Callithrix jacchus: one gene and its partner. The protein of the gene in region 1 interacts with the protein of each later gene in a biochemical or structural test. Links are inferred from orthologs where the notes say so. Each region holds a gene or a part of one and is shown on either strand. Other genes may lie near its edges.

Region 1 (15,142 bases):
CATTTCAGGTTGATGGCATAGAGTAGGGGAAATACACAAATGTGTGGGGACTACTCAGTGGTCTGGGATGGCTACAGAGTAGAACATAGTGAAGGAAAGAGTGGAAAGGAAGATGAAGAGTCAGAGTGGGTTGAATTATGAGAGTACCAGAGTGTTAAAATGTGAGGGCAAATGGAGGTCCAGGGCACATTAGAAAACTAGAGGTCAGAAAGTTCACCCTGATTTGTCAAGACTTCTTAGAGGATCTAGAATTGGAATCCAGGTCTGCGTCTCTGTAAAGTTCAAGCACTTTTCATGACACCATACTGTTTCTTTCCACCCGCACAATGCAAATGAACTCTTATGAAACTGCTGTTTCTATCTTGGGCTAAGTGCTGCAGAAAAAAGATTTAATCTTTGGGATAAAGATATTTTGGGTTTTCTCCTACTTCTTGGGAAAAAGAATTATTTTCCCCCTAGCTAATTAAGTGTGGTATTGTTCTTCCAGGGAAATCAGCGATGCATCACCTGCTGCTATCCAATGTCAGGGTTAGAGTTCTTGATTTATTGCATATGCCCACAAAGCTTGGTGCAGAGCGTAAGACACATTTCCCAAAAGTAAGACATACTTGGGAAGTCCCCGTCTATCTTCCTGGTACACAGCATCCTCCAGCCCCATATGTTTCCTTTTAGTTGTAAAAATCAATAACTGAAATCTCATTGATGTGTCTAGGCCATTGTAGTAAACAATAAAGGAGGGAGGCTTCTAACAGCTGAGAGGAAATTGTAATCTGAAGTGGTGCAAGCATAGCCTGGGGCTGAGCCTTGGCCTCTATCCTGCCAAGTGGAGAAGCAGTGGCCCATGTAAAGTCTGGTAGAAGTAAAGGATGCAACTCCTGCCACAATGACTTGTTTCCTTGTATTTGATGCGGTCAGTGCTTGAGAAATGTTTTCTTTTGTTCTCCCTGAGCAAAGGCTGGAAAAAATTGAAATTTACCTGGAGACCACACATAATTCACATCCTGCTGTGAGGCTTAACGTCCGCCAGTAGGAAACGGTTCTTCTAAAGCCTGTCGTCAAAGTCAACAATACCTTCCAGATGTTAGCATTTTACAGTTTAAGGAACTTTTATACATGACCTCATTTGATTCTCACAACAATCCTGTTCATATTTTTATTGTCATATCACCTTTCAGATGGACTATTATAAGAGCCTTCAAACTTTTTGCCAATTTCTCTCATATCCAATGTGTTCTTTTGCTCTGCCTCCCAAGTTTTCTTTCTAGAACACCAACCCGATTGGCTTAAGTACTTGAGCTACCGCTTCTCCCCCATCAGCTGCAGAGTAAATTTTGGTCTTCAGAGTCACAAGAAACATACTTTAGTTTTCAGCGTATCCATGCATCTTCATTTATCTCTCCTTCTCCCCCAAAGCCGCAGTAGGAGTGAAAACCTGTGATACATTTTCTCTTCCATCATAAGGGTCGCAACCAACACTCCTATATCAAAAGACAAGTTAACAAGAGAAAAGCGTAAACAATTTATTTAATTAAAGTTTTACATGACATGGGAGTCTTCAAAAATGAAGACCCAAAGACCCAGGAGAAACTGTCTGTTTTTATGTGGGTGGGTGGAGAGATTGGGGAGGGATAACATTGGGAGAAATGCCAGATGTAGGTGACGGGGGGACGGAGGCAGCAAACCACCTTCCTATGTATGTACCTATGCAACAATCTTGTGTGATCTGCACATGTACCCCAGAACCTAAAGTACAGTAATAAAATAAATAAATAAATATTTGTGGCCAGGCACAGTGGCTCACACCTGTAATCCTATCACTTTGGGAGGCTGAGATGGGCAGATCCCCTGAGATCAGGAGTTCAAGACCAGCCTGACCAACATGGCAAAAACCCGTCTCTATTAAAAAATACAAAAATTAGCTGAGAATGGTGGTAGATGTCTGTAGTCCCAGCTACTCGGGAGGCCAAGGCAGGAGAATTGCTTAAATCTGGGAGGTGGAGGTTGCAGTGAGTCACGATTATGCCACTGAACTCCAGCCTGGGTGACAGAGGGTGACTCCATCTAGTGTGTGTGTGTGTGTGTGTGTGTGTGTGTGTGTAATTGATGAGACAGGATTCAAGTTGCTAACTCTGCTAACTGGTCTCCCTGCTTTGATACTCTGCCCACTCATCTCAATCATTCTTTCAAAAGAGTCAGAATGATCAGATCATGCCCTTCCTCTGCTTCTGTTTCTTTCGTAGATTTCCACTGCACTTTGATAAAGTCCAGCCTCTTGACAACAGCCTACAAATCTTTGCAGGATCTGTCGTCTACGTTTCCATCTCTTTTTATGCTACTTCCATCATGTTCTCAATTCCCTAGCTATGCTGGCTCCCTCCTCTTCTTCCGCAATTTTTTTAAAATTTTAAAATGTTGTGTATATTTATAGGTTGTAAGTGAAATATTCTTTTTACATGCATAGACTGTATAGTGGTGAAGTCAGGGCTTTTAGGGTATCCATCACCTGAATGAGGTACATTGTACCCCTTAAGTAATTTCTCACTATCCACTGATTTCTTGCCCTCTCATCCTTCTGAGCCTCCATTGTCTATCATTCCACACTCTACATCCATGTGTACACATTATTTAGGTCCTACTTATATGTGACGACATGCAGTATTTGTCCTTCTGTGTCTGACTTGTTTCACTGGAGATAATGGCCCTAGTTCCATCTAGGTTGCTGCAAAAGGCACGATTTCATTTCTTTTTATGGCTGTGTTCTTTCTCAATTTAGGTAAAGTGCACTCGCACTCGCTCTTACTTCTGTTTGGAATACTCATTCCTGGGCTTCTTGCATTGCTTTCTGCTTCTCACTCATCGAATCTTATTTTAGATGCCCCCTCTTTAAAGAGGCCTTTCCTGACCACCTTGGCTAAATTAGTCCTTCACCATCTGATCGCCCTCTAGCACATCACCTGCCCATTTTATTCATGGTACAGGTCAAAATCTGGAATCATCTGATTTGTTCATTTTCTGACTCCTCCTACTGGGATGAAAACTCTACTAGGGCGGAGATTTTGCCTGCTTGTTCACCATGCTAAATACAGTTCTTCAAACAGTACCTGATACAGAGTAGGTGTCAAAAGATATTTCGTAAACCAATGAATTTTATTTATTCATTCTTAAACAAATGAATAAATAACAAGTAGATCTTTTGAGAGTAAAGCCCTTCTATACTACCAGAGTCACCCAGGATTGACAAATCATAGAATAACAGAATTCGTTGCTTTGTGCATATCAGAGAAAGAAGGTGGAAGGTTGTCAAGGTATCATGATGTACCAGCCCTCGCCTCCTCAAACACAATCTGCAAGTCCCACAGTGAAAGAATAAGTTAACTCATGTGAAGCGTTTTACAAACACTTTTTTTAAAGTTTTAAACTCCTAAGAAAGCAAGGTTTAATAGCCAAAGAAGTGAGTAAATATGAAATGCCTGAACAGAGTAATGAGTTAAGCAGGTTAGAAGACCTGGTTCTAATAGGGAACTAGCACAGTGAGGTATGCTGCAACTCCCGCTTTCACGGAGCAAGAACAGATTGGGCAAGTGAGCAGTCCTTGAATAAAAGATGTAAGATTAACATTGGATTCTATTCTCTACTGTGTATAATAGAATGAGGAAAAATTATTTTTTATAGTTTGGAAATATCTCTATTTATACAGTTTATCTCATTTGATCAGACTGTTGAGTTACAGGATAGCACAGCGGACAACTCACATAACTGAGTATAGAGACACCTAGATCTGGACCCAGCTCCGTTAGTAAGAAGCTGTAACCTCAGCAAGTCACTTTCTCTTTCTGGGTCTCTATTTCCTTTTTGGTGAAATGAGGATGTTAGGCTAGATTGCCTTTAAAGTCCCATCTATTGCAGTGATTTATATTTAACTCGTGACAAATCAGGCTTCTCTTATTCTAAGTCCAAGACATAAAGTTCTCATTGTAGAATTTCAGACATCAGTAAATCTTCTTGGGTCCTCGCTTATGTTCCCAAAATCAATCTATTTGAGTGATCACTCTCTTAGGTGCGTAGGTAAACAAAGAAGGTCATGGTTCTTCTTTGAGTGACCTTCTTTCCCTTTTAATTAATCTGTCCTCTTTGATGTCAGTTCTGACTGGTTCTTCTCCCTGGTTCGTCTTCCTTGGTCTGATGACCTCCCTGATTTCACATTGTACTGCAGTTCCTTCCATACCACCATCAGGGATGGCTGTCAACTTTCATTTGTTCTGTTATAATTCAAGGAAAAGTTGCCCAGTAGCTAATCTGATAAAACGTCTTTCTATCTTTATGGGCAGCTAGAGACTTTTTCCTATAATTTAAATGCATCTTCTGTGGATTATGGTCCCTCCACCATTTTATATTTGTCTGCTGTCTTCTTGCTCTGCTAGTCATGGAAGGAGGTGGTACTGGGGGCAGCGTAGGATGTTCAAGGGCATGTACTAGGTAGGGCCACGTATGGGCATTGCTTTGTGCCATTCTTTCCATATTTTTGGTATTTTGCATTTCACTGGAACCCAACTATTTTCACCTCTTCCACCTAAACCATTTGATGCCTCTGTTTCTTATAAATAAAGAACAGCTCATGGTAGCCTATGATTAGGAACCTATCTGCTTTCAAAATGAAAGCTGTTCTGGTCAGACTTAGCAATTCATTCCCCCCTTCCACGTATAGCTTTCCTCCATGAAAAAGATCCCTCTGTAACTCTGGTGTAGGTATTTGATATCTGGCCATAAGATGTGAAATGCCTGAATGTTTTTGTCCACGCAGTCGTTTCAGTCCATGATATTGTACGTAAAAGATACTAATTGTCCAGGTGTTCAGAAGCACCCATAGGACTTGATATGATTAGTTTGAAGGCCGGTGATATATAAGGCAAACTACATATTTTTCTGCCTGCTCTCTCTCTCTCTCTGTACATCCCTCTTTATCTTTTGAGATAGCAGTTTGGAGACTTAGAGTTACATAAGACATAAACCCATTTGCCAATAAGAATTGGTGTGTGTATTTGCTCATCTACTCCCTCCTTTGGTCCTCGAGCTGCTGTTTTAGACTTTTATAGGATGCAGGCATGTAAAGGAGAAACTGTCAGTGCTAGGCTGAATTCTGTTGTTACCAAGATTTCTAGAAAAGTATTCCGCAGTCGGGTTGATTACAGATAGCGCGAATCTATTTTTCCTAGGCTAGTTTCTCTTTGCTGCCGGGCTTATAACTGTCTGTCATCCAGCTATTGCTCTCCACCTTCCTGTTTGCATAACAACCAAGGCAACTTCTGCAAATCGCTGCATGGAGACGATGATCCTACCAACTCCCTTTTGGAAACCGTGAAGATCAGACCTTGGACCATGTATAATATGATGCTTCTAATCCAAAAGAGGAAGGACATTGGGAGTCAACTCCTAAGTAAGCTCCAGAATTTTTGCTGGTACTTTTCCTTCAGGAGGTAACTTTCCTTGATATTGTTTTTTTTTTTAATAGATATATGAATAAATACTATATTTTGCAGCATTGTACGCTTTTTTTCCTTTTCTAGAAATTCTAAACCTTTGACATTCATAGAGACGTTGAGTACATTTTTTTCTGTCTGCCTACTTTGCAGAAGGATTTTCTCTGCTCGTTCGCTTAGCATTGCTGATGCGTCAATCTTTTCTTCCTCGTCTCTTTCAGGGGCTGGAGAGGCAGAGGGAGACAGAGGAGCTGGTACTGCAGAGCTGTCGTCTGATTGGCTGGATGGTCGTAGCTGGGCTATAAAAGAGACCCCTACAGGCTTGGGAGAAAGACGCTCAGAGAATTCTGACAGTATCTTTGCCGGAGAAGAGGCAAAGTACGCTCAAAGCCGAAGCCACAGCTCCTCCTGCCGCATTTCTTTTCTGCTTGCAAATCCCAAGCTGTTAAATAAGATGTGCAAAGGGCTTGCAGGTCTGCCGGCTTCTTGCTTGAGGAGGTAAGATTGCTTTCAGCCATTAACCATGCTGAACTTTTGGATAGACTTTCTCAGTCATTTACATGTTGTACTTACTAACCTAGTTCTGTGCAGTTAGAAACAATGTGGTCAGGAGAGCAATGACTTCCTAACTTTCTTCCTCCAAGACAAGCTAGATACTGTGACTTAAGACATGTGCTCCCCAAATTTCAGTCCTTACGTGTTGTTTTATGACCTCAATTTTGGTAACCGTTCTGTTCTTTAAGCCAGGTCTAAGCAAGCTAGTTTTAATTAAGAAGTGAGATAAGGTTTGAGGCTATGGATAGTGGTCTGTAATATCTCCATCTGTGATTCCTACTGTTATTTGAGCATCCCCGGAGTATATAGAAGCCTGGCTCTGGGCTTTCTGATTGTACGCTACATCTTGTTTGAGGGAAAGTACCCCATAATGAGGTTTGGCTGCATTATCGGAAAGGCATTATGCTTTCTGTGTGGTGCTCAGTATCTTTCACTCTCTATGTTCTTATAATCAAATGTTACAATGAGATCTTCCGTATCTCTCTGCTCTATCTCTAGTTCTTAAAGTATCTTAGATGAGTGTGGTTGAGAAGTACTGATCATTACAAATCAGTTAACAGTTTTGTAGAAGATCTCACCTTAAAGACATTGTTTTGTTAGTATGCTCTCTTAATGTTTTTAAAACACCTTACAGGCATACAGTTATGCATTTGTTTATGCTTTTAAAAGCATAAACAAATGCATTCAGAGAATGATCGTATATTAGCCACTTGAAAATGAAACACAAAATGAGTGCATATTCCATTACTTAATCTTGCAGATAAAGGTAAAAAGTCATTCTAGAGGTATATACCTGCTTTCTTATCACCCTGCAAATAGAAATTACCACAACTTTTATTTTGGAAATAATTTCAGAAAACATAATGTTTTATGTACTATTCAAACATTTACTTTTCAAATATTGTGTCATTCATGAGTGTGGAAGTGTCAATGGCTTCTTTAAAATGAAGCAGGAGGGTCTGGCAGAGAGTATGAAATAAGTGCCTCTGACCTTCATGATTAATTTTCTGAATGGAGGGGGGCAAATCACTTCAAGCTTCAGTTAACTTACATATAAAATGAACCATTCAAAAATACAAGAGGGTCAGGAGAAGTTATGCTCTGGTAAATATTTTGCAAGGCAGATAAAGAAAGGTAGTACTAGAGCTCTGCCCTTGAAGAGTTAAGCAGCTAATCTAAGGAGGTAAACCCTGTGTTAGCCAGATGAGCTGCTCTTCCCTTTCCTCACCAGTAAACTCCAAATGGTCTAGTGCAACATCTTTACCACCAGTGCCTGAGGCTCCAGAGGAGCCATCTCCTACTCAAGGTCACATAGATGGTGGGTGAGTTAGGGCCAAATCTAGATTTCCTGGCTCCAATAACTTCTGAAGTCATTTTGGTTTTTATTTTTATGGTTTTATTATAAGAATACTTGCTAAGCACACTTAGCCCCTGCATTGATCAATAGCTCTCAGATCTCAGGTGGATCCAGCACATGGAAATATGAATTCATTTCTATTTGGACTTCATGATATACTTATATTATCACCTCGGAATTACCCTAACATTCAGGATTATATCTCACTATCATCAAAAAGGATAGTATATCCCCTGACCAGTCATCAGTCAGGGAGGCAGAGGAGGGAAAGTAGTCTTGGGAGGAAGAGAAAATACTATTTAAGAGGCAGTCAGCGAACATAATGGAATTCAGAATTTCTGGGAAAACCTACACACATAAGCCACTAATGTATTAGTAGTCATCCTAAATGTCTTTATATCTCTGTGGCTTTATTTTTCTTGCTCCAAATAGGAACATTTAGTTATTCATTTTTTAAAGAATGGTATTTCTCTTTTAAAATTATTTCTTGGCTTTTAAAATAAAAGAGATGCAAGCAAGAGGATAGTTAAGAAAAAGTAAGAGAGTTGAGTTTAAGGCTTATTAAAGGACCCCGTTTTTCTAGTTAGTCCGGAGCCCTGTTGTGCCCTGGCTACCTATTAAAACGGCCGCAATAAACTAGAAGCTCAGTGATGTCTCTAGCCTCCTTCTCCCTATAGTTTTTAAGCCCCAAATGCCCTTTATAGTGTATATGTCCTTTAACGTAGCTATTAAATAGGAAAGCAGCAGCAGCAGCAGGTACTGTCTACAAAGAAGCCCCAAGGAGCTCAGGTTTCAGCTTGGGCATTTGCTTTCACCGTCCATGTTCCATTTCCCTCTGCTGGAGCTGCGCACCTCAGTGTATTCTCCCTGCATACCCCACAGCAGGGACTGCTTGGCCCACCATGTACAGGGCTGGAACGGAATAGACTTTTACTTTCCTGAGGTGCTTCTACAGTTCCCTCTCTGCCAGCAGGGAGACAGATGGAAATGGCAATCACCTGCCAGAAGGTGGCGTGCAGCAAGGATGTGCATCTTTCGCAGCTGCTGCCTTCTGATTCCTAAAAATTACTCAGAGATCACTCATGTTTTCAGTGTGGTTCTATTGAAGATACCAAAGGTATTCTGTTGGTCAAAATGACCGGCATACAAAGGCTTCTGAGATTTCTGAGGTAAACTGAAGGGTCAGAATTCAAGTTGTGGATGAAGGAACTAGTGTTATGACTGTGCCTCAAGGTTTTGTAGCAAGTCATAGGCAACCAAAAGCGGAATCTTGTTTTCCTCAGAGTTCATGCCACCTCCAACTCCTATTCCCTAAATAAATGCCTCTGAGCCATAGACTAGTAATGGACTCTTGAAGCTCTACCATTAGGTATCTCTTAATGAAAGTTGGTTATCATAATTGATTCTTTTTTTCCTCTTCTGTGCAGTGCAAAAGATATGAAACATCGGCTAGGTTTCCTGCTGCAGAAATCTGATTCCTGTGAACATAATTCTTCTCACTGCAAGAAGGACAAAGTGGTTATTTGCCAGAGGTAAGAGAAAAGGCCTGGTGAAGATCTATCGAGTATTAACTATCTGATGATAGATGTGTTGTGCTCCTACTTAAGCTGGATTTGAACCAAGAGAGCCCCCCTTTTCATGGAGAGTATAACTACATTCGAAATTTCTATACATTTAGTGAAAAACTGCCCTCATCAACAATATATTTTGTAATAATGATGGAAAATAAAATCTCTGCTTTACATTCAGGATCTTAGATTTCTTGCCCCAATTTTGTATCATAGTATTCCAATTATTTTCTGTTTCTCTCTAATTTTTCTAGGGTGAGCCAAGAGGAAATCAAGAAATGGGCTGAATCACTGGAAAACCTGATTAGTCATGAATGTAAGTTTGACAGCAACCTGGATGAGGTACTCTAGATCAGACAAGTTATATCGTGCTGCTCTGTTAGTAACTGCAGCAAGGCCTGGCTTCTTTCTGATATTCAGACTCAGGAGACCCTTTTGGTCTTATATTCAGTCTGTTTAAAATTTAAAATGCCCTAGAGCTTTGCGATATACAATGAAAAGTTTATACAGGAACCATGTAGGAAATCAGCTCTCTCATCACAAGGAAAAAGGGAAGAGAGAAAAAAATGATAAATATTGATATTTTCTTGCAAAATCAATATCAGTTTCTCTTTCCCATATCCACCTTGGTAACAGATAGCTGCATAGGCATTTCAGAAACGAAATACTTTCTTGAAAGAGGCTTCAAACTTGAGTGTGAATCATTAGGTAGAACTGGAATCCACTAGACATCAAACACAGATTAGGGTTACCTGACTCCAAGTGACTTGAAAAAAGCGGATGAAATAAGGGATTGCTTGAACCCATGCTTTATTTCCCCAAGTACCTCAGCTTTATGTGAAATCTCATATCCAAGAGGCCAGCCGGTGTGATGACAACTGTGGTCCTTCCTTCTGTATCACAGGTGGGCTGGCAGCTTTCAAAGCTTTCTTGAAGTCTGAATATAGTGAGGAGAATATTGACTTCTGGATCAGCTGTGAAGAGTACAAGAAAATCAAATCACCATCTAAACTAAGTCCCAAGGCCAAAAAGATCTATAATGAATTCATCTCAGTCCAGGCAACCAAAGAGGTGGGTTTTTTACGGATACATGAAAATTGTACCTAGTCATGGGGTATGTGTGATATTTTGATGCATGCATACAACGTGTAATGATCAAATCAGGGCAATTGGTACATAGATGTCTCAAATATTTATCATTTATTTGTGTTAGAGAACATTCCGAATCTCCTATTCTAGCCATTTTGAAATATACAGCAAGAACTATTGACAACTGTCATCAGCCTGCTATGCAATCAAACACTAGAACTTTTTCCCTCTATCCGGCTTTCTGTCTATTCCTTCTACTCATTAGCCAAACAACCAAAAAGTTAAGCTTTTATGGCAGAGAACTCTCTGGATCTTGGTGAAGGTTCCTAGAATAGTGGAGCTGACTATCATAATCTTGACAACCCCAAATAAATCAGATTTTTAAAAAATCTCCTTCGTCCATGTGACTTACATAACCTCCCTTCATGAAGTTTTCTGATGAATCTCCCCAATTTGTTAGAACAGAAGATCTTGCCCTCCCTACTCTGAAACAGAATGAATCTTTTATACTCTCTCACATGTGCCAGGGACGAGCCTGATGTCACTTTTGTTTTTCACTTCTGAAATATGGTGGGTACACAGTCACTTACAAGTCGCTACAAAGCATGCAGCCTCCCATCGGGATATAGGTCTAATGGAGTCTTGGCCTTTGCCCCTCAGGTGAACCTGGATTCTTGCACCAGGGAAGAGACAAGCCGGAACATGTTGGAGCCTACAATAACCTGCTTCGATGAGGCCCAGAAGAAAATTTTCAACCTGATGGAGAAGGATTCCTACCGCCGCTTCCTCAAGTCACGATTCTATCTTGATTTGGTCAACCCTTCCAGCTGTGGGGCAGAGAAGCAGAAAGGAGCCAAGAGTTCCGCAGACTGTGCTTCCCTGGTCCCCCAGTGTGCCTGATTCTCACATGGAGGCAGAGGGATGAAATGCCGAGACTCAATGCTCTGGAAAACCTGAGGCCAAATATTGATCTGTATTAAGCTCCAGTGCTTTATCCACATTGTAGCCTAATAGTCATGCTGCCTGCCATGTGTGAGTCACTTCCACGCATAAACTAGATATAGCTTTTGGTGTTTGAGTGTTCATCGGGGTGGGACCCCATCCCAGTCCAATTTCCCTAAGTTTCTTTGAGAGTTCTATGGGAGCAAATATCTAAATCACGGCCTGGTCAATCTGGATTTTCAAAGATAGTTGGCAGTTTCCTCCTCCCAACAGTTTTATCTTGGGTTAGTTGGTTAGTGCATGTCACATGACAGCCACATGCACATGTATTCTGTTGGCCAGCACATTCTGCAGACTAGATGTTTAGATGAGGTTGATCTGTGATATGTGCTTGTGTGTATGTCTATATATATATATAGATATATATGTACACATACGCATATATACATTATTTCTGTATATAGATGTCTGTGTATACATATATATGTATGAGTGTATGTATATACACACACAAACTTTTGCAAGAATGATGGGAAAGATCCTAGGTGCTCATAACTAGAGTATGTGTATGTACTTACATGCATGTTTCGATCTCTGTTCTTTCATACTACCTTTGAACAGGGCAAAATGAACTAACTGCCACGTAGGCTAAGAAAGAAATGCTAACCTGTGGAAAGTTGGTTTTGTAAAATTCCATGGATCTCGCTGGAGAAGCATCCAAGGAACTTCACGCTTGATTTAACCACTGACAGCCTCCACTTCAAGCACTATTCTAAAGAGCAAATACCTTAGCTCCTTTGAGCTGGTTTTCACTGATGGCACTTTTGAGCTCCTAGGCTGCCAGGGCATGCTTATTAGCAGCTGGGTTGATACGGAGTGGGGAGACTGTTGAGCTGAATGAAGAAATGCAGTGAAGGCCTTACCAGCCACACCTACCATAAGTTACTGGCTGAAAGAGTGCGCAGAAGTTAAAGGTTACCGTTTTTACCCTCTATCCTTTTTTCCTCTCCTGATCAAGGTGCTCTTCTCATTTTTTCCTGAGAACCTTAGCCATCAGATGAGGCTTCTTAGTTTATTGTGGTTGGTTGTTGTTTCTTTATAATGGCTCTGGGCTATATGCCTATATTTATAAACCAGCAGCAGGGGAAAGATTATATTTTATAAGAGGGAAACAAGTTTTCACAATTTGAAGAGCCCACGTAAGTTTTCTCTTCCAAGGTAGAATCTTGTTAATTTCATTCCAAACATCAGGGCTAACAGAGACTGAAGCATTTCTTTTTAGGCTCTGAGACTAAATGGGAGGCAAAGGAAAGAAAAAAAATCATCGTCTAACCAATTGTTAGAGCTACTGTTTGAAACTTTTCAAGGCACATTGAAATACTTGAAAACTTCTCATTTATGTTATTTATGATGTTATTTTGTACAAGCTTTTATTATTATATTGTTTTATAAATGGAGGTGCAGGATATCACCTGTATTATTAATGAATGCCCAGGAAGTAATTTTCTTCTCATTCTTCTAAAAATACTGCCTTTGAAAGTGCACACACATGCATCCACATACACTGCATTTGTTTCTCCAGTATAAATTACATGCATGAGTACCTTTGTGGCTTTTAAGCCAATGTAATGGGCTGCAAAATGAAGACACAGAGTGTGTGCATACAAATATCACTGTATTAAAGATGTAGATTTTCTAATTGTACCCTTCTTGTCTCTCCGGCAATCTTGCCCTTAATATCCCTGCAGTTCCTCATCAGTGTCATTTTCTGTTATACACAGTTCCACAATTTTGTCTCTAGTTGACTTCAAATGTGTAACTTTATTGGTCTTGCCCTATTATAATTGTCATGACTTTCAGATTGTATCTGAACTCACAGACTGCTGTCTTACCAATAGGTCTGGAAGGTCATTCTGAATGAGAAGTAAATTATTTTATGTAATACATTTTTGAGTGTGTTTTTCGGTTGTATTTCCCTGCTGTTTCATCACTATTTCCTATGGTGAGCTTGCCTGCTCATGCTCTCTGGACAGATTACTACTTCCTTTTGCATGCATATTTCTCTAATGTGCTTTATAGGCCTCAAAGCTGATGCTTCCAGTGAAACACATGCATCTTAATAATAAGGGTAAATAAACGCTCCATATGAAACTATTTGCTTGGAAACACATTAATGATCCACAGAGACATGTTATGAGAAACATCAGAGTGTAGGGTGACTTTAGAAAAAGACTCAAACCGAGTTTTTAATCCCTCCTATGCCAGTGAACTGGGAAAGAAAGCATAAACTGAATATTGTTTATTCCTTAGTTCATGCCACTGCTCTGCCTGGTTTTCCTCATAGAACCAAGGCAATCTTAGCTTCAGACACTGCTAAACAGATTAAGTGATTTGCTTGCAGATTCTCAATCGATTTTCAATTGATAGAGTTCACCTTCCAGAAGTGTTCTTTTACTTCCGATGACCTGCCTGCTTGAGAGATGGTAGAGCAGTGGGAAATTGAGAGGGCTGAAAGGAGCTATAGACTCTTACCCAAACTTCAAAATCCTTCCCTCTCTCTTAATAATTCTCTTTCCTGGAAAAGAGGTCACAGAACGTTCACATCCTCAGTGATAGGCAACGTGTGCTGTGTTTATTGTGTCATGAGACTCCCATTTCATCATCTTTCTTTCCCATTGTAAGAGTAGTACAAGATGTTAAGCACGGATGCTCTTCAACACTTTTGAGTAATAGATCCCTGTTTCTGAGACTGAGTCTCACTCTGTTGCCCAAGCTGGAGTGCAGTTGTGTGATCTCAGCTCACTGCACTGTCCACCTCCCAGGTTCAAGCAATTATCTTGCCTCAGCCTCGTGAGTAGCTGGGACTACAGGCCCAGCTAATGTTTTGTATTTTTTTTAGTAGAGATGGGGTTTCACTGTGTTGACCAGGCTGGTCTTGAAATCCTGAGTTTAGGCAATTCACCTACCTCGGCCTCCCACAGTGATGGGATTACAGGCGTGAGCCACTGCGCCCAGCCGAGTAATAGATCCTTTTAAGGATCTGGTAAAAACTATGGACCTGACCATCTTTTAAGAAAAATACATAGAGGAATCTAAATTTTTCATACACATTTAGAGGGAACTCTCAGAATCTCCCCTCAAAACAGACCAAACTATCATTCTTCTCTTACACTACAGATGTGTCAGACTCTCACTGAGACTGTATAGTTGCTGTACACTCTATTTGATAATCAAGAATTGCAGGGTAGGCTGGGCGCGGTGGCTCAAGTCTGTAATCCCAGGACTTTGGGAGGCCGAGGCGGGTGGATCACGAGGTCAAGAGATCGAGATCATCCTGGCCAACATGGTGAAACCCCATCTCTACTAAAAATACAAAAAAAATAATTAGCTGGGCGTGCTGGCGTGTGCCTGTAGTCCCAGCTACTTGGGAGGCTGAGGCAGGAGAATTGCTTGAACCTGGGAGGCGGAGGTTGCAGTGAGCTGAGATTGTGCCACTGCACTCCAGCCTGTCACCTGGCGACAGAGTGAGACTCTGCCTAAAAAAAAAAAAGAATTGCTGCATAATTCAAAGTCACTGCTATTAGCAGCAAGTGTGAGCAGTGCCGTTTTCCCCAGTCTACCTCCCTCATTCTTTCTCTATTAAAGAAACAAAAAAATATTGGCTGACCCTTTTTCTGAAGATATGTATTACAAGGACCACCTTTTGAAAAACATTTATTATTGTTTGTTCTGTGACTGGCCCTTCTATAAATAACACGCTTAATTCTCACAACAACCTTAAGATATAGATGCTAATCATGAGCATTTCCCCTTAAATTTTAAAGATGGGAAACACTGGCCAAGGTGCCTCAGGCTGTGTTCTGGCACTGCATGTTAATAATGCTTAGATTTTTAAAGTTGGAAACGTGACTATAGAAGGATGAAAGAGGAAAGGGGAAGGAAAAGAAATAAAAAAGAAGTACCTTGAAGGTGAAATCAACTACTTCTCAGCCCATACCAAACATGTGGATGAAAAGTCACAGCAGAGGAAAGCCAGTCAGATAAAGTGGCTCATTTGATGAGCCTGACTCTAAAACACATCATAAAACTAAACTGCACCATTCATTTATTTCAGAGGCTGAATTCAAAGCATGAATCTGCTCAGGTCATTAAAC
Region 2 (15,863 bases), on another chromosome or scaffold:
TGGGGAGGGGGCACAGCTGTCAGAACTTTCTCACCGCCCTTCTGCAGTGGACAGGCTCTGACATGTAAATAGCGCTTAGCCAGACAGCTTAATTCTGGAAGAGTCTCCACTGAAGGCTTTGGCCCCACACTTCATTTGTATAGACCTTTTGTTGGCCACAAAACTTCCAGATGCTGACCTCATTTTCTTTGTGTCTCTCCCACCCCAAAGGACATCTGCAGACTTTCAGTACCTCCCACTCACTTCTAGAGCCACGTGTCATGGGCTGGGCAGTCTGTCTCTCCTCTGGCTTAATCAGAAGGTTGGAAGTTGAAAGAGTTTGCGGCAGAATAATTGTCTAGTAATAACACCACATGCAACCAAGCGCAGTGGCTCACACCTGTAATTCCAGCACTTTGGGAGGCCGAGGCGGGGAGATCACCTGAGGTCGGGAGTTTAAGACCAGCCTGACTAACATGGAGAAACCGCCGTCTCTACTAAAAATACAAAATTAGCCAGACATGGTGGTGCATGCCTATAATCCCAGCTACTCCAGAGGCTGAAGCAGAGGTTGCAGTGAGCTGAGATCATGTCATTGCACTCCAGCCTGGGCAACAAGATCGAGATTCCATCTCTAATAATAATAATAATAATGTATGCATGAATAAAATATCCCAGTTCCTGACCGTAGTGAGGGCTCAGTCTCTGTTGGGCTCCAGGACTCATGCAGGCTGAAACCAGGGGGAAGGTGGCTAGAGAAGCTCCCTCCCCCGACCTCCAGCACTGAGCAGCTTGTCTTGGGTCTGAAAGTAGTTAGGGTCTCTGTGAGTGCGAATGGCAGGAACTAATGGGATGGGGCTCACAGGCCAGGTCACATGAAGGGTAAGGAGACCCAGCCATGGGGACCTTAAATACCATGACACTTCCCTGCTTCTTTCTGGTAGCTTTATTCTGAGAAGCTTCTCCATGAGTTGGGGGACACTGGTCTCAGTGATACTACTGACTTTGGGGGCACATCCTCTTAAGCTTCTCCCTTTGAAAAATCCCAGAGAAAGACTACAGGCGACCCAGCATGGTCACATGCCCACCAGCCACTGCCTCCACTAATCAACCCTCTCCCTTGTGTTGGCATCTCATACTTAGTTCCCAGGGCCTGGCCTGGACTGGAAGCTGGCCTGGACTCCACAGGACTCAGGGTCCCACACACTCCTGGCCCAGCCCTGCGCTCCCAGCCACACCTCTCCCTGTCGCTGGGACATCTCACAGTGCCACTCAGCTCGTGCACACCCTGAAGCATGGTGCCCCGGGCAGGCAGTGGTCACCAGGCAGGAGTATTCTCAGGGCCTGCTAGGATTCAGCCAGGGACAGAGGGGCCACTCGGTTGGTGGCCACCTTGTATTTTGGTTAGGAGAGTGGTCTGAGCAAAGTCCTGTCAGCCACAGAGACATGTGAAGAGCAGACAGGATATGTGTGGTGCCTGGGCTGAGACAGGAGTTTGCTGTCCTCAAGACAGCTTCTAGAGGTTTAGGTTCCTCTAGAAGCTTACCTGAGATAAGGATTTGGGTAAGACAAGGAGTTTATGTGGGGGGTCATTTCAGGAAGCACCGAGGGAGTGAGGAAGCCACCAGCAAGGGAAGGAAACCATGAAGGTGAGTTCATGTGTGGCCTGCCACGTTGGCAGCTGGGGCTCCATCCCATTGGGATCCTGTCCGACTGTGGAGCTTGTCTCAGAATTGCCTCCCTAGGAGGGCAAGGAAGTGGGGTATTTGCCCATTCCTGTCTGTTCTGGGCACTAACTCCCAAACTATAGAGCCACCTATACACCCAAGGCAGTGAGCTCCATGGACAGAGGCAGGAGGGCAGCCTGAGGCAGCACCTGCTCTGCCCTTACCTGCTTCAAGTTGGACGTTAAAGACTGTGGCTGCCTCAGATGCAGCACAGACCTTCCTGGGCAAGGCCAGCTCAGATGTGATCTAGACGCCTCTATTAGGAATTGTCGGCCGTCCAGGGTGCTCTTAACACAGGTGGGTCTGACCATAGAGGCTGGCCCTGGAGTCCGAAGGCTCCTCATCTTGAGTCTAAGCCCTGCCACTCATCATCTGTGTTGTTAAGTGAGTGCCTTCCTCTCTGTGGCCCTCAGTTTCCCCACTGTGAAGTGGGGTTGGTAATACTACAGTGACTGCTGTATTAACTGTGCCACAGCAATGCCATCTAACAAACCTCTCCTAAACCCAGCCACTTAGTTCTGCTGCACATCTGAGACCCAGGGCAGGCTCCACTCTGTACTGTGCTCCCCAGGTCCTCTTCCTAGGATGAATGACAGAGCCTGGGCATATTCATGGTGATGGCAAGGCCCACAAGGACGATCAGAAATACACACGGCCTCTTGAGCTGGCACAGTGCCACTCCTGCACCATTCTGTGGGCCACAGCAAGTCCTGTGCCATACTCAACATCAGACAGACAGGAAATAAACTCTGCCTTTAGCAGGAGGAGCTGCAGAGGTGCAGAGCAAAGGGTGAAAGGCCCGGTTACACATCTCCTGCCACTTGATCCTGAGGTGGGGGACATTCTGGGGACAGTGTGTGAACCAAATCCTTTGTACACTAAGTACTACTCCTGTGTGCAAGGTGGTAGAGATGGTGCGGTCCGGGATGTCTGCAGGAGAAGTCTTATCTTTAAAGACCACCACACTTCTGGTTGTGGTGTTACATGTATGGGATTGTAGTCTTTGAAAACAGGTGACCCCACTTTGGTATCCAGGATAAGGGGAAGGGGAAAAAAACTGTTAATTATGCAGTACTTTTTCTGTAATTCCAAGGAGGCTCAGCCTACACGTGTGCACCTTAAGCAAATTCAGCTACACCCACGCAGACAAAGGAGGAAGGGAGGAGGCAGAGAAGGAAAGCACTTCAAACATTACCTGTCCCTTTCCCCTTCCCTTGTTTCACCTGACCTGGGGGCTTCCCCTGCCCCCAGAAAAAGGTAGGCCCAGGTGACAAACAAATAAGATAAATTAATAAAAATGGACTTTTGGCTTTGAGCAATCCAAGGGCCAAAGTTCTTGAGATTTAACATTGGCATGAGGGGTTCTTGCCATCTGCACTAACTCAGCGACCAGCCCCTCTCCTCCCCCAGCCCTGAGGCACAGTCCCCCTATGGCCCATCCCTCAGGTAACCGGAATTCTCCACCGAAACGCCTGCTCCCCCACATAGCCCAGTTCTAGGGACTCCATTCCACCCTGCGTAAGAAGTATAGAAAAGTACAACTCAACCAAGGACATTGATTTTTTTTTTTTTTTTTTTTTTCAATTTTCCCCAAACAAAATACCAAGTTTTCAGGATGAAAGCAGAGCTGCTGGTTGAGGGTGGAGAATGGAGCCCAGCCCACTCTCCCCTCACTGCCTGGGAAAACTCTGGGGCTCCACTGGCTGCAGCTTGGAGCTCCTGCTTTAAGGACGTCCATGTGGTAGAAGGCCCCACAGGCCCCAGGAACCCCTACTGAGGAGGCTCAGTTCGTGGCCCTCCGAGGAGCAGGCTGTGGGCTGAGCTATGGTCCTGCTGAACTGGCTGGGCCCTCATCACAGTTCCAGCTAGGGGAGAGCCCTTGGCTGGCAGGGGTCTTCTGTCCTCACCAAAGCCTTAAAGCCCGCCATCCATCTCTCCTAACAGGCTGACGCCAAGATGGTGTGTGATGTGGTAAGTCGGATGGAAGACACCGAGCCCTTCTCTGCAGAGCTGCTTTCCGCCATGATGCGGCTCTGGGGCGACTCAGGAATCCAAGAGTGCTTCAACCGGTCCCGGGAGTATCAGCTCAACGACTCTGCCAAATAGTGAGTGTCCCCATGGGCGGGCGCCCTGCAGCCAGGCGCTGACACAGGAGTGGAGGGGGATTGGCGATGGGGATTGGCAGAGCAAAGAGGATTCTCAGCTGAGGTCATGCCTGCCGGGAGATGTTCTGCCACAGGTCGGGGGTGTCAGGATGGAATGAGAAGGGGCCTCTCTTCCTGCCCCCAGGGGGAGGAAAAGGCCAGAGAAGGCAGAGGGCACAAGAGACAACCAAACAGTGGAAATTCCCAGAGGGCCGGGACCTTGTCACTGGCTTGTCCGGAGAGTGCTTGGCACTGCAGAAAGACTGCTTTCAGTGTAGCAGCTTTGTTTTGTCATGGGGAGCCCTGACCCCATAAATATAAACCAAACCAGGAGCCATATAGGCAGAAAATAAATGGTGCCATTTTGTTTTATTATAGAGAAAATAATAAGCTATTCCATTCCTCTATCTTTAAAATTAAAAATAAGAGTTATATAAGTCTAATTAATATAATAAATGTATACTTTAATACTGTGTTATAACTAAATAAGGGGGATGATAGAAGGGTGGAAAGAAGAAAGGAAGGGAGAGAGGGAGAAAGAAGAAGAGATAGAGAGGTGGGAAGTGGTAAAAGCCAGGGCTGGTTAGAAGGTACTCCTCACTTGTCCCGTGACAGCAGGGTCACAGTTCCGCCAGATGCAGCTTGATCACTCTAGGCATCTCCAAGGACATCCTGACTGCTTCTGTGCCCTTGGCCCCTAGATTGGAGGCTCCAGAGCCCTGGGATAGTCAGTGTCACTCAGGGACGTGTCTTCTGTCATGGAGATACTGGGATTTCTCCCTTGGCTTTCAGGAAACATACCTGCTTTTGCAATCTGATACCACACATTCAGTGGGGGCTTTTGCAAGGAGCCCCTGCGCTTTATCCCACTAGCTGAAGAGGCTCTGACATGATCCAGTCCAGCCATTTTCACCAGGCTCAGCTGGGACCATTTTACCCCCAGCGGACATTCAGCAACATCTGGAAACATTTTTGATTGCCACAGCTAGGATGGTGCTGCCAGCATCTAGCAGGCAGAGGTCAGTGATGCTGCTAAACATCCCGCAGTGTGCAGGACGACCCCCACAACAAAGTTACGTGGCCCCAGACCTCCATATTGCCCAGATTAAGAAACCCTGATCTGCGCAATGCCACTGGACAGAGGCTGAGGCCAATGTGCACTCCTGGCCACTTCCACGGGCCACATGACAGCTAACAGACTAGGGACTTGAGCAAGGCCGGGAGCGACTTCCCATTTCTGCACACCTAGACTGTCCACAGGGCAAATGCCAAAGTCCTGTGAGTCCCAGGTGATGGCTACCTAGGCCCCCAGGCCTGATGAGCTCCCAGGAACACCTTGTTGGTCAAGGCAGTGAGCCCAGAGGCTCGGTGTCCACCATTCCCTGTGCACACTCAAATCACAGATCGGAGCCAGGCAGGAGAGAGTCACTTTCAGCTGGCCACCTGCAGGACCCTCAAGGGCCCTTAGGGCCAGCTGGCCCCAATCTGTCTTCTAGTAGCTCACCAAATCCTGCTCTCCACTTACATTTTTACCCATTTCACTAATTATAACATGAATCCTTTGCAAAAAAAAAAAAAAATTTAAACAAATGCAGAGGGATATAAAACGAGATGCAGTCTTCTTTCTACTCCCCCCACCAGCTCTGTCCCTCCCACTTTTACCCATATCCATTTATTTGTCCCAGTGGCATCTAGAAAACTTGATCCTCCAACTCAAAATAGTATTTACTGCCACCCACTCTGGAATCGAGGGAGCTCAGCTCACCTTCCTTCCTTCCACCACTCTCCACCTTCACCTCCGGCTTTTTGCTAGTTACAGGATTATTTTTAGTTCTTCCGCTGCTTACCTTTATAACTTTGAATAAGAAACTTGAGTCAGTATTTGTCAACTCCCCACCAAGTAAGCTGAGGAAATTCTCCTCCCCGCACCCTCGTCTCTGCCTTCTTTCAAATTTTCCACTTCCAAGGTTGGTGATGTTACCATTCTCTTCTGTCACCATGGCTGGGCCTTCTGTGTCTTCCCTCTGGGAGAGGGTGGGAAAGGCAGGAAACACACAAGCGGTCAGGGCTAGAAGGATCTGGCACATTTCCTATCTTAGCAGTTAGACCTCAGCTTCTGACAAAGTCTTGGACCCAGTATAGAAAGCAGATCGGAGTAGATTTGTTATGCTGGAAGGGAGAGGGAGGCCTCACAGGGCTGCCATAGCACATGCTTCCACAGGGTGCCATTGCCACCCTAATGCCCCAACCACCAAGCACCTCTCTGCCCAGCCCCTTGCAGGGGAGGGAGCAGGGCACAGGCTCCTGAGAAGGCTCTTGGTGCACTCCGGCCTCTGTGAACAGGGCTGGCTCTCCCCTCGGGATAGTCACCTAGAGGGAGGTCCCAGAAACTCTGGGCACATCCAACCAGGGTCTGTGAAAGGTGCTCTGGGGCCTGGTTGCCATTGGTTTTCCTCAAATCCGGTTCTCCAGTGAGTTGTTTATGCCAGTGGCCGATGTTTCCTCTCCTCACCTCCTCTCTTGACTCCACTCCTATTGGGCTCTTGCTCCTCCCCTGATGAGATGGCTCTTAGCCCAGTCCTATCCTGGGGGCCTCTCCATCAGCCTCCTCCCACTCAGGGTTCAGTCCCCCAGTTCCTGGGACCTCCTTTCACTCCCAGCACCTGCCTCCTCTCTGGCTGCCCTTTCCAGACTCCCTCGCTGCCTCCTGCCCACGGATTGGTGACAGGGGAGGCCTTCTCAGGTTGCTACATCCCGTCCCCAAGCTCCATCCTAGAAGCACAGTCAGTAACCACTGTTCCAGGTGCTGGGGACGGGGCAGTCTCCATAGACTTCTTGACTGGATCGTTAAACAGCTCTCCCACACCTCGCCCTACCCTCCACATCTCTTTGCATGAGGCTTGTCCAGCATAGAGAGGCCAAAGGGCCAGGTTGCCTGTCTGAAGATTTGCCCTGGCTAGGAAAGGAGAAGCAGGACCAGTGGCTTCCAGGCTGTTGCCAGCTGCAGATGACAGCAGGGGGCGTCTAGTACAGCTTGGAAGCAGAGGCCACGAGCACCAGGGTGGGACAGGCACAGAGGCTTGGGAGGGCTCCTCCTGGCTGAGGCCAGAGCCTGCCCAGATACCACTGGCTGGCGAGGAGGCTGAGAGGCCAGGGGCACATACAGGTCTGCTCTGCAGCCTCGGCTCCCTCACCCCCATCCCCACACTGTCACTTCTATAGAGGGCAGTCAGGCACAGGAAAGGAGGCCCAGAGTCCTGTTTAAATTTTTTTTCTGGTGTTTTAAAATGCTCATGGAGTCCAGTTTAAGAGTATGAGGTCTGGAGCTAGTCAGAACTGGGCTGAATCCCAGCCAAGTTAATTTTTTTTTTTTTTTCCTCCCCGAAATGGAGCCTTGCTCTGTCACCCAGACTGGAGTGTAGTGGTGTGACCCTGGCTCACTGCAACCTCTGCCTCCCAGGTTGAAGTGATTCCCCTGCCTCAGCCTCCCAAGTAGCTGGAATTACAGGTGCCTACCACCATGCCCAGCTAATTTTTGTATTTTTAGTAGAGACTGGGTTTTACCATGATGGCCAGGCTGGTCTTGAACTTCTGACCTCATGATCTGCCTGCCTTGACCTCCCAAAGTGCTGGGATTACAGGAGTGAGCCACTGCTCCCCATCACCAAGTTCATTTTCTTGCAGTGTGACTCCAGGCTTACCTCCCTGAGCCTTGGAATGTACCATTCTGTTTTATTTTCTTACGGGAATTCTCACAAGGATTCTCACTGGGTTCTATCAGTGAACACCCTATCTGGTGAAGGTGTCCACCCTTCCTAGCCCTGTGGGCGTCCATGAGCTGGTCAGCATGCCCGTCTTTTTTGCAGTGGTGACTGTAGGTCCAGCCAGCCAGCTGGCCCCCAGCAGGTCCTGGAGCAAATGCAGCCTGGGACCCCACATCATCCTGTGGCACAGACACTCAGGGCTTCTCCCTGTGGGCTGCATGTGGTTCATCCCGACAGCTGGAAGGGGTGGCCTGGCAGTCTCCGTGGATCCCTGAGTCTTCCTTCAGGCATGGCCCAGCTCTCCACTTTCTGGTTTCCCAGATACTACCCTGGCATTAGGTTCAAACTTAACCCATAATGAACCCAAAGCCCTTGCAGGCAGCATCCTTTGAGTGCTAGGCCTGAGGCCTGGGCAGGTGACGAGCAAAGGCCTGGTCTGTCCCCACAGCAAGAGGTAGCCGGATAAAGAGCCCTGATTCCAAAGACTGGGTCCCAGGGAGGCCCAGCCGCTGTGTGGCTGTATAGCCCTGAGCCTCCAAGAATGTCAAATGGGAAGGTGAACACAGACCCCTTGGTAAGTGAGAAGGAAGTGTGGAAAAGGCAGGGAGTGGCTCGGGGGCCTCTGAAGCCCTAGAAAGTATCAGAGTATAGCCTCTGGGGCCAAGTATCCGGGTCATGGTCTTAGGCCAGGTACTTACCTTCAATGAGCCCCAGTTTTAGAACATTTAACTCAGGGAAATGAAGCATGAAATACAGTTACACATGGAAAGAATAGAACCTATCTGTTGGCCATTATTATTTTTTAAATGAAGAAATGACAACACAGTATTATTATAAACATGGTAGTCTCATGTAAAAGTCTGATCTTGTCTGAGTGTCCCCAGAGTTGCGTGCATAGCCTTTTGGCTATGAATGAGAGGCCCTCTGAGAATGCGAGGCCAAAGTAAGATCCTCTTCCTCAGTTGTCCCCACTCCCCATGGCCAGGGATGGAGGCAGTGCCATTTCCACAGTCACCTGGAGGGCCTTGGCCAAGACTGGACTCTGAAGGTGGGTGGCCTGGCCAGTCCCAAGCAGTGTCCAGGCTTTTGGTCCATGGTCCCGTTTGTTGCCATCCCCAGCTACCTGGACAGCCTGGATCGGATTGGGGCCGCCGACTACCAGCCCACCGAGCAGGACATCCTCCGAACCAGGGTCAAAACCACTGGCATCGTAGAAACCCACTTCACATTCAAGAACCTCCACTTCAGGTGAGGCCCAGGGAGGCCCCCAGACCCTGGCGAGGGCTAAGACGGGACATATCCGGCTTCTTAGCACAACTCGTCTGCAGCGCCCAGACATCGTCCTCCCCAGGGAACCCACAGGTTGGGGCAGGCAGCTGGATACCAGAAGGAACCTGTCAGTTTCTGTCAAGTTTAGGGGCTGGGATGAGCAGGGAGGCTTCCTAGAAGAACATTCAGAGTGGGGCTCTGACGAACAGGGAGAATTTGAACAAAGGAGGGCAGCCTGCCCCTGAGGTGACTTCCAAGGAGGAGGAGGAGGTAGACTACCAGGTGGCCCCTCCAAGGTCACTGAGAAGGGAGCTGGGTAAGCTTAAGCAACATCTGTGAGACCCTGAGGACCCATGTAATCCCAGAGCTGGAAGGAGCAGAGGGAGCTGACCGACTCTCTCCTGGTACATGTGCATAGAGCACAGCTAGAACCCAGGGGCTCTGGAGTCTCAGAGCAGGGGCCTGATGGGTAAGCTGGTTCCTGGAACCTGCTGCAGAGCTGTGTCCCCACCTGCAGTAACCTGCATGCACTGAGGCCTGGGAGCCCTTGCTCCGTCCTGTGGGGAACAGAGGCCAGCAGAGAAGTGGGGGGCAGAGATCCCCTCCTGGGAGAACTGGCTTCTAATATTCCCTGCCTCTCATGTGCCCAGCCCTGCCCACTACTGTTCAGACTGAGGGGGCGAGGCTCTGGGCCCAGGAACCCCTAGGCCTCCACGGATCTGAGGAGCAAAACCTTGGGCAGAGCAGCCTTGAGGGGCCTTCCTTGCCTTCCCAGGCTCCTTGGTCTCTCCTGCTCCCCCACTGGGAGCACAGGATGGGGATCTTGCCAAACCTGGCCCAGTGGGCAGGGTCTGAGAATAAGCATTCTGGAGGGGCCACAAAGGCCATCTCCCAACACCCCTGCATTTCAGATGGCGAGGTGGGATCCAGGGGAGGCAGTGATAGGGTAAGAACCAGACCCATTCCTTTCTCCAGTCCCTGATCTCTGCCTGCAGTTGCTCCATTCTGTCCAGTTGGACCAGGAATCCTTCCCTGTCCCCCTCTGGCCGGCTGTGTGTCAGCTTCCCAGATCTAGGAGGCTGCAGGGCTCCTTGCTCTGGGGGTTGGGGTGGGCAACTGACCTTTTACTTCCAGGGTGTAAGTCCCACCTGCCTGCAGTCTCTCCAACAGTTTTTGTGCCCCCTCGGGGGTGGAGTTTGAGAGTGGGAAGAGACCAGGCGGTGATCTGCTGGAGAGGGGCTGTGCTGGGCAGAGGTGAGAGCACCAGCTTTGTCCGCAGCCAGACCCAGCTCCACTGCAGCTAGACTCTCACCAGCTTGGGCATGTCTTAACCCTGTGGATGGCTCACTTTTGCCATCCATATAACAGGTGACACCTTCTGCCTGCCTCCCTCCCTCCCAGACTGGTTTGCCGAGAGCAAACCCAGGAAGGAATAGACTGAAGGCACCTTGAGCGGAGGACTCTGAGAGGCGCTTCCTGGGGGCCAGCTTGGATGCGCCCTCTTAGTAAAATGCCTCAGATGCAAGGGCAGGTCTTTGAGTTATGATATGTGAGCACAGCCAGTCCAAGGACAGACTCTGGGGGCAGTGCCTGGGGATGGCAGTGGTCCAGCTGTCTCTCAGCACCTGGAGTGACAAGGCCTGCTAGTGAGGGCTTCTAGCAAGGCTCTGAGCGCCGTAGTCCCCATCTTCTCAGCACACTCACAGCTTGGCCCCCAGGAAGCCCTCACCTGCCTGGACCCTGTGCCCACCAGCTCCCTGCCTCCTACAGGCTGTTTGACGTCGGAGGCCAGCGATCTGAACGCAAGAAGTGGATCCACTGCTTTGAGGACGTCACAGCCATTATTTTCTGTGTCGCACTCAGCGGCTACGACCAGGTGCTCCACGAAGACGAAACCACGGTGAGTGGCCTGGGCCCCCTGGGCAGAGGGCAGCACAGAGGAGGCAGCCACAGGATAGGTCAGCCCTGTGAGCGCTAGCCCTCAGGTGTCCACTGTGGCTCTGGGGTCCAGCCAGCTGCTGTGGTTAGGGGTTTCCATCATGGGTGGAACGTGCCAGAACACTCCACCACTCTGTATTGCCAAGGCAAGTGCCTCATGATGCCAGTGTGGCAAAGAGTTTCATGGGCCCCTGGCCCAGAGCCTGTGTGTGCAAACTGATCACACACAGCCATAAAGAATGTGAAACTTGGCAGAGTCACAGAGGCCATCAGGCCAGAGCAAAATTAAGCAAACCCTAAAAAAAGCAGAAGGCAGCCAAGCAAGAATGTACATGCAACAGAAATAGCAGTCCTAGCCTGACAGCCATCCCTGGGGCACTGGCCTCAGATGCTACTGGAGCAGAGTGGGGCCGGGGATGCTGTGGGAGAGTTGTGTGGGGTTAGGGGGCTGGGGAGCAGTGTGCGGGGTTGATGGGCCGGGAAGGGAAATAGGGATGAGGCATGCTGGTGAGTGACAGTTGTGGCTCTGGGCTCCTTTGCCAAATGCCAGACCAGGCTCCTACCTTCTGTCTCGAGTCACATTCAGCCTGAGGCCTCAGCAGGGAAACATTCCCCTGGGAGAGTGCAGCCTTCCTCTGGGCCTAGTCCTGGCTCTGCTACTCACTGGCTTGCTGCTGAATTTAGGCAGCACCTTTCTGGCTCAGTTACTAGTTTCCATAAAAGGGGGATAATAATAGTACCTGCCTGTGGGGGGCTGTTGGCAGTGGGATGGGTGATCCACGTGCAGCACTGTGGAACTGTTTCTGGAACAGCAGCACCAAGCTGGTGGTTGTACGGTTGCTGGTGATTGCCCTCAGCCTGCGTGTCCACTGTGTGGTCCCCTTCTGGTCTGCAGCCCACCAGGCACTGAGCATGGCTCACAGGGTCACTGGAGATAAGCCCCAACACTCCTGACGGCGGGGCCCATAGGCCATGGGGTCACAGGCATCTGTCATCTCCTTCTGTCTGGAACACATGCAGATGCCCCACCGCATGCCTCTGAGGGCTGGCACTGAGGGTTTGAGGTTTGAGGTGGGGCTCGTTGTCATGCTGGGCCTTGAGCGAGGCCTGTCTTCTCTCTGGGTCTGTTTCCTTGTCAGTTCTGGCCCCGCTGGTCCCCAGGGTTTTGTGAGGATGGGATGAGCTTTGGGGTATAGGCTATGGGGCACAGTGCTATAGGGAGGAGGAGCCGCCGCCCTGTGGGGCTTATGCAGAGTGATGGGGCTTTGGGCTAGTGGTGTAGGTAGTCTGGACCCGCTCTGTATACAGGCTCACCCACCTGGGTCTTCCTGTTTCAGGCCCACCTGCACCCCTGACTTGGGTTTCTGCTGTAATTGTTCTCAATGGCATTGGCAGGCAGTGATGTCAGTCACCAGCCTAGTCTTGATGCTGAGTGGGGCAAGGGTGGATGAACTTCCTGGGCCATACTTGGATCCAGACTCACTGACCACCCAAAGCCCAGGTCAGCCTCCTGGCCATGCGCCCCGCATAGTGACTGCCCAGACTTTTCCACTGCCTGCTGCTGGACTCTATGCTATTAAGGCAACTGCTCCAACCCCTGGGATCTGAGCTCCACTTGGCTCATCTTTCTCCCCTTGGTTTCAAAGAGAGCAAAGAAGCTGGAGGGAGGAAGCTGGAAGGGCACTTCCCCCTGGAATCCAGCCTCTCCCTGGGCCTGCCCTGCCAGGCCTGTGGATGGCTTCAACCCAAGTCTCAGGCCCGCCGGCCATGGGGCTGGGCTCTTGCTCACCTCTAGAGGATGGAAGCAAAGGGACGTCTGGGTGGGCCTAGCAGCCACGGGCCCAAGCTCTGCCACCCATGGGTCCCCAGTGAGCATGAGCCTGGTGCTGGGCCTCGCGCTGGGTGACCTTCCAGTCTGTGCCTTACTGCCTGGAGTATTTGCCCTCCAGCCTTCTCCACCTTCTCTCACCTCCCTTTTTCCCTGTTCCTCCCACTCTTCCACATAAGGGCTGGAGCAGAGGACCTTAGAGAAGCCAAAGCAAATGGAGCCAAGGTCACAGGCAGGCTCTTCCTGGTATTCTTCCTTCCCCAAAGCTGGCCACCTTCGCAGCCCAGGGAAGAGCAGCAGCTCATGCAGGGAATAGGGATGACTGCAACTTGACAGCAGCCACAAAGGCAGTTCAGTGCTGTGGTGGCAGCAAGAACAATACCGCGACTGTAGAACTAAGCAGTCGCCATGTGCTGGGGGTGCATGCAGAGGTGGGCAGCTTGGGAGTCAGGCAGATCTGGTCCAGGGTCTAGCGTCACCCCTGCCAGCCGTGTGATCATGGGCAACCACCCCACCCTGCCCAGGCCTCCATGTCCTTCCCTGTAAATGGTGACAATGGTAGAATGGTCTCACAGGCCATGTGAAGACCACAGGGCTAAGAGCTGTAAATGTGCCTGCATGGGGGAATCATCACTCAGTGAATAGCTGCTGCGGCTACTGCATTCCGACGCCGTGGCTAGAGGTTAGGTTCTAGGATATAGGAGCTCTGTAGGATACAGGCTATCTGCCTTGGTCCTCCGCCGTCCTCTCTGGTCAGCGCTGCATGTCCCCTCTCTGGCCTGGGGTGAGAGTGGGGCTGAGAGCCCATGGCAGAGGTATCTGGAAGCAGCTCCTGAAGCCAGGCCAGGAAAGCCTTGGTAGTGGCTGCTGCTGGACATCCAGCCGCCCCGTCCGCTGCATCCCGGGAGCCCGAGAGCCTGGTCCTGGCCTCGTACCTGCTCTCAGCGCCGCCCATCCGGGCCTGAGGCTGCCACCACTTCTCCACTACCACTGTCGCCGCCACCGCCTGCAGGGCCTTATCTTGTCAAACCAAGGCCAAAGCCATGAGCAGATTCTGAGAGACCCTCCAAGCCCGGAAGGTATGAAGCACCTCCCTCCAACTGAATCCATCAGCTAAGAGTTGAAAGCAGCAGGTTCTCAGGGCGACGCTGGGTGACTTTGCTGTGACACCTGCCCAGCCCGCCCCTGCGCCCGCACTCCTCTCCAGCCACTTAGCTTGGGCTCATCCTACCCATCCTGCATCTCTTGCCCTGCGGTCCACAGGCCCAGGATGGCCCTCGCCCCCATGAGCCCTCATGGGGCTCTCGGCATGAACTGGCTGGGATGCCCTGGCCCTGAGACTGGTTGAACCATTTTTTCAGTATTTTTCTCTCTTTCTCTTGTTGGGTTTTTATCTTCTTCTCTGTTTTGATCTGTTTTGCTGTGTTTCATCTTGGGGTTCCTCTGGCCCCTCTACTGAGAAACCAGCGCCAACAACCAGTTCTCCCCCACCCGAAACCACCAAGCACACCAAGGCCACAGCAAGCTCACCCCCGAGACGCTATCCCCCTGGTGTCTGCTTCCAACTCGGAATTAATTCGAGGATCTTTTAGTCCTCGGTTAATGTTTCCCAACCAAATGCGTGCACCCTCCCAACCTTGCTGTTGAAACCGAATGAGACCCGGTAGAGAAATCTGCATGACTGGGGTTCCACGCAGACGTGTTCGGTGGTGGTTGCAGCCCCTGCCCTGTACGTGCATGGTGCATGTCCTCTCCGTGAGCTGGAGCCTCTCCAGTGACCTCACTGCCCCCACCCGGGGCCAGCTCTCTTTGGAAGGGGGCAGCATCCACCCACCCTGCCCGGCCCTGCTCCGCCCCACCCTGCCTGCGTGTGGAATGATACAGGACCACGTCCCATCTGTCCTTGTGGATCCTCCTGTCTCCGTCCCGGTGGTGCGTCCAGCCTCATTGGTGGACCTTCCCTTTGCTTGTCCCGCTGTGTCGGTGGCCGCGGTGGGTCAGGGCCCTGAAGGCGCCGCCCCTCACTCGCCCTCCACTCTGTTGCAGAGCCGCATGCATGAATCCCTGAAGCTTTTCGACAGCATCTGCAACAACAAATGGTTCACAGACACGTCCATCATCCTGTTTCTTAACAAGAAGGACATCTTTGAAGAGAAGATCAAGAAGTCCCCGCTCACCATCTGCTTTCCTGAATATACAGGTAGAGACCCCTCCAAGGACAGCAGGACCCCAAGGGAGCGGGCCCTGTTCCCAAAGCCCAGTGCACCCTTCCTGCACTCTGTGGATGCACCCAATTCTGCCTCAGGGGATCCACGCAAACAGGCCCCCACCCTGCCTCCAGATTGTGCTGTAGCGAGGAGGAGCAACTAGCTGGGGCTTCCTCATCAGGGAAAGCACGCGCAGTCCTGGCTCTGCCACTTATAAGCTGTGTGACCAGGGCAGCCTCTGGGAACCTGAGCTCAGGGGCAGTCTGTGACAAGAGATCGCTGAGAAGACGAGGGGCAGTGCACAGACGCTGGGAGTCAGGCGGCCCAAGGTTTATGCCCCAGCTCCGCCACTCACAGGCAGCTCAGGCGGGTCATGCAGCCTCTCTGAGCCTTAGTCTCTGGGTCTGTGAGGTGGGGTGATGGCTGTGATTGCCCTCACCTCCCTCACTGGGTGCTGTGAGGAGGAAATGAGCTGATAGGTACGCAGAGCTTCGCGTGGTGCTGCACATAGAAAGCGCTCCCTATGTGTCTGCTCTTGCCATTAGGGGTATGCCTGTAACTCACATGCATCCTAACACCACCTCCTACATGCGGCTGCTGCAAGATTCAAATCACAGAGCTTTGCAAGCTGCAGACCCCTGGCCCACTGCATAGGGTGCTGGGGATGAGAGGCCAGCCCTGCCAGTGCTGTGATGGGTTTACCTGGCCATGGGGTGGGTGGGAAGCCAGGAAGACAGTATGACCAGGGCCACTGAGGAGCTGCAGGGTGGCAGCCCTGGTCAGTGATACCAGAGCAGTTACAGGCCCCAGCATAGCCCGGGTGCCCATCAGCTCTTCTGAGACGGCCAGACCCTGACCAGAAAAGTGAGTGGGCGGAGAAGTGGGGCAGCCCCGGGGCTTGGGGCCAGGCAACCTACCTCCTGCCTCTCCTCATCCCCCCAAATCAGGTTGAGTGCCAGCAGGCCAGGACCTGGGTATGTCTAGCCAGAGGTGAGTGGGGCTCAGCC

The links.
Region 2: the proteins of RGS4 (region 1) and GNAO1 form a complex in vitro, tested with the Homo sapiens proteins (2 studies listed by BioGRID). The link is inferred for Callithrix jacchus from reciprocal best matches to the Homo sapiens genes RGS4 and GNAO1.

The regions. Positions count from the first base shown.
Region 1 is NC_133519.1:38,560,942-38,576,083, reverse strand, and holds RGS4 (regulator of G-protein signaling 4), read left to right. Parts: upstream 1-5,081; 5' UTR 5,082-5,376; coding exon 5,377-5,434; intron 5,435-5,698; coding exon 5,699-5,975; intron 5,976-8,816; coding exon 8,817-8,921; intron 8,922-9,211; coding exon 9,212-9,273; intron 9,274-9,861; coding exon 9,862-10,028; intron 10,029-10,706; coding exon 10,707-10,946; 3' UTR 10,947-13,139; downstream 13,140-15,142. UniProt on the Homo sapiens protein: Inhibits signal transduction by increasing the GTPase activity of G protein alpha subunits thereby driving them into their inactive GDP-bound form. Activity on G(z)-alpha is inhibited by phosphorylation of the G-protein.
Region 2 is NC_133521.1:14,196,685-14,212,547, forward strand, and holds part of GNAO1 (guanine nucleotide-binding protein G(o) subunit alpha), read left to right. Parts: intron 1-3,650; coding exon 3,651-3,811; intron 3,812-8,733; coding exon 8,734-8,862; intron 8,863-10,653; coding exon 10,654-10,783; intron 10,784-14,695; coding exon of another isoform or gene 14,696-14,849; intron 14,850-15,863. UniProt on the Homo sapiens protein: Guanine nucleotide-binding proteins (G proteins) function as transducers downstream of G protein-coupled receptors (GPCRs) in numerous signaling cascades.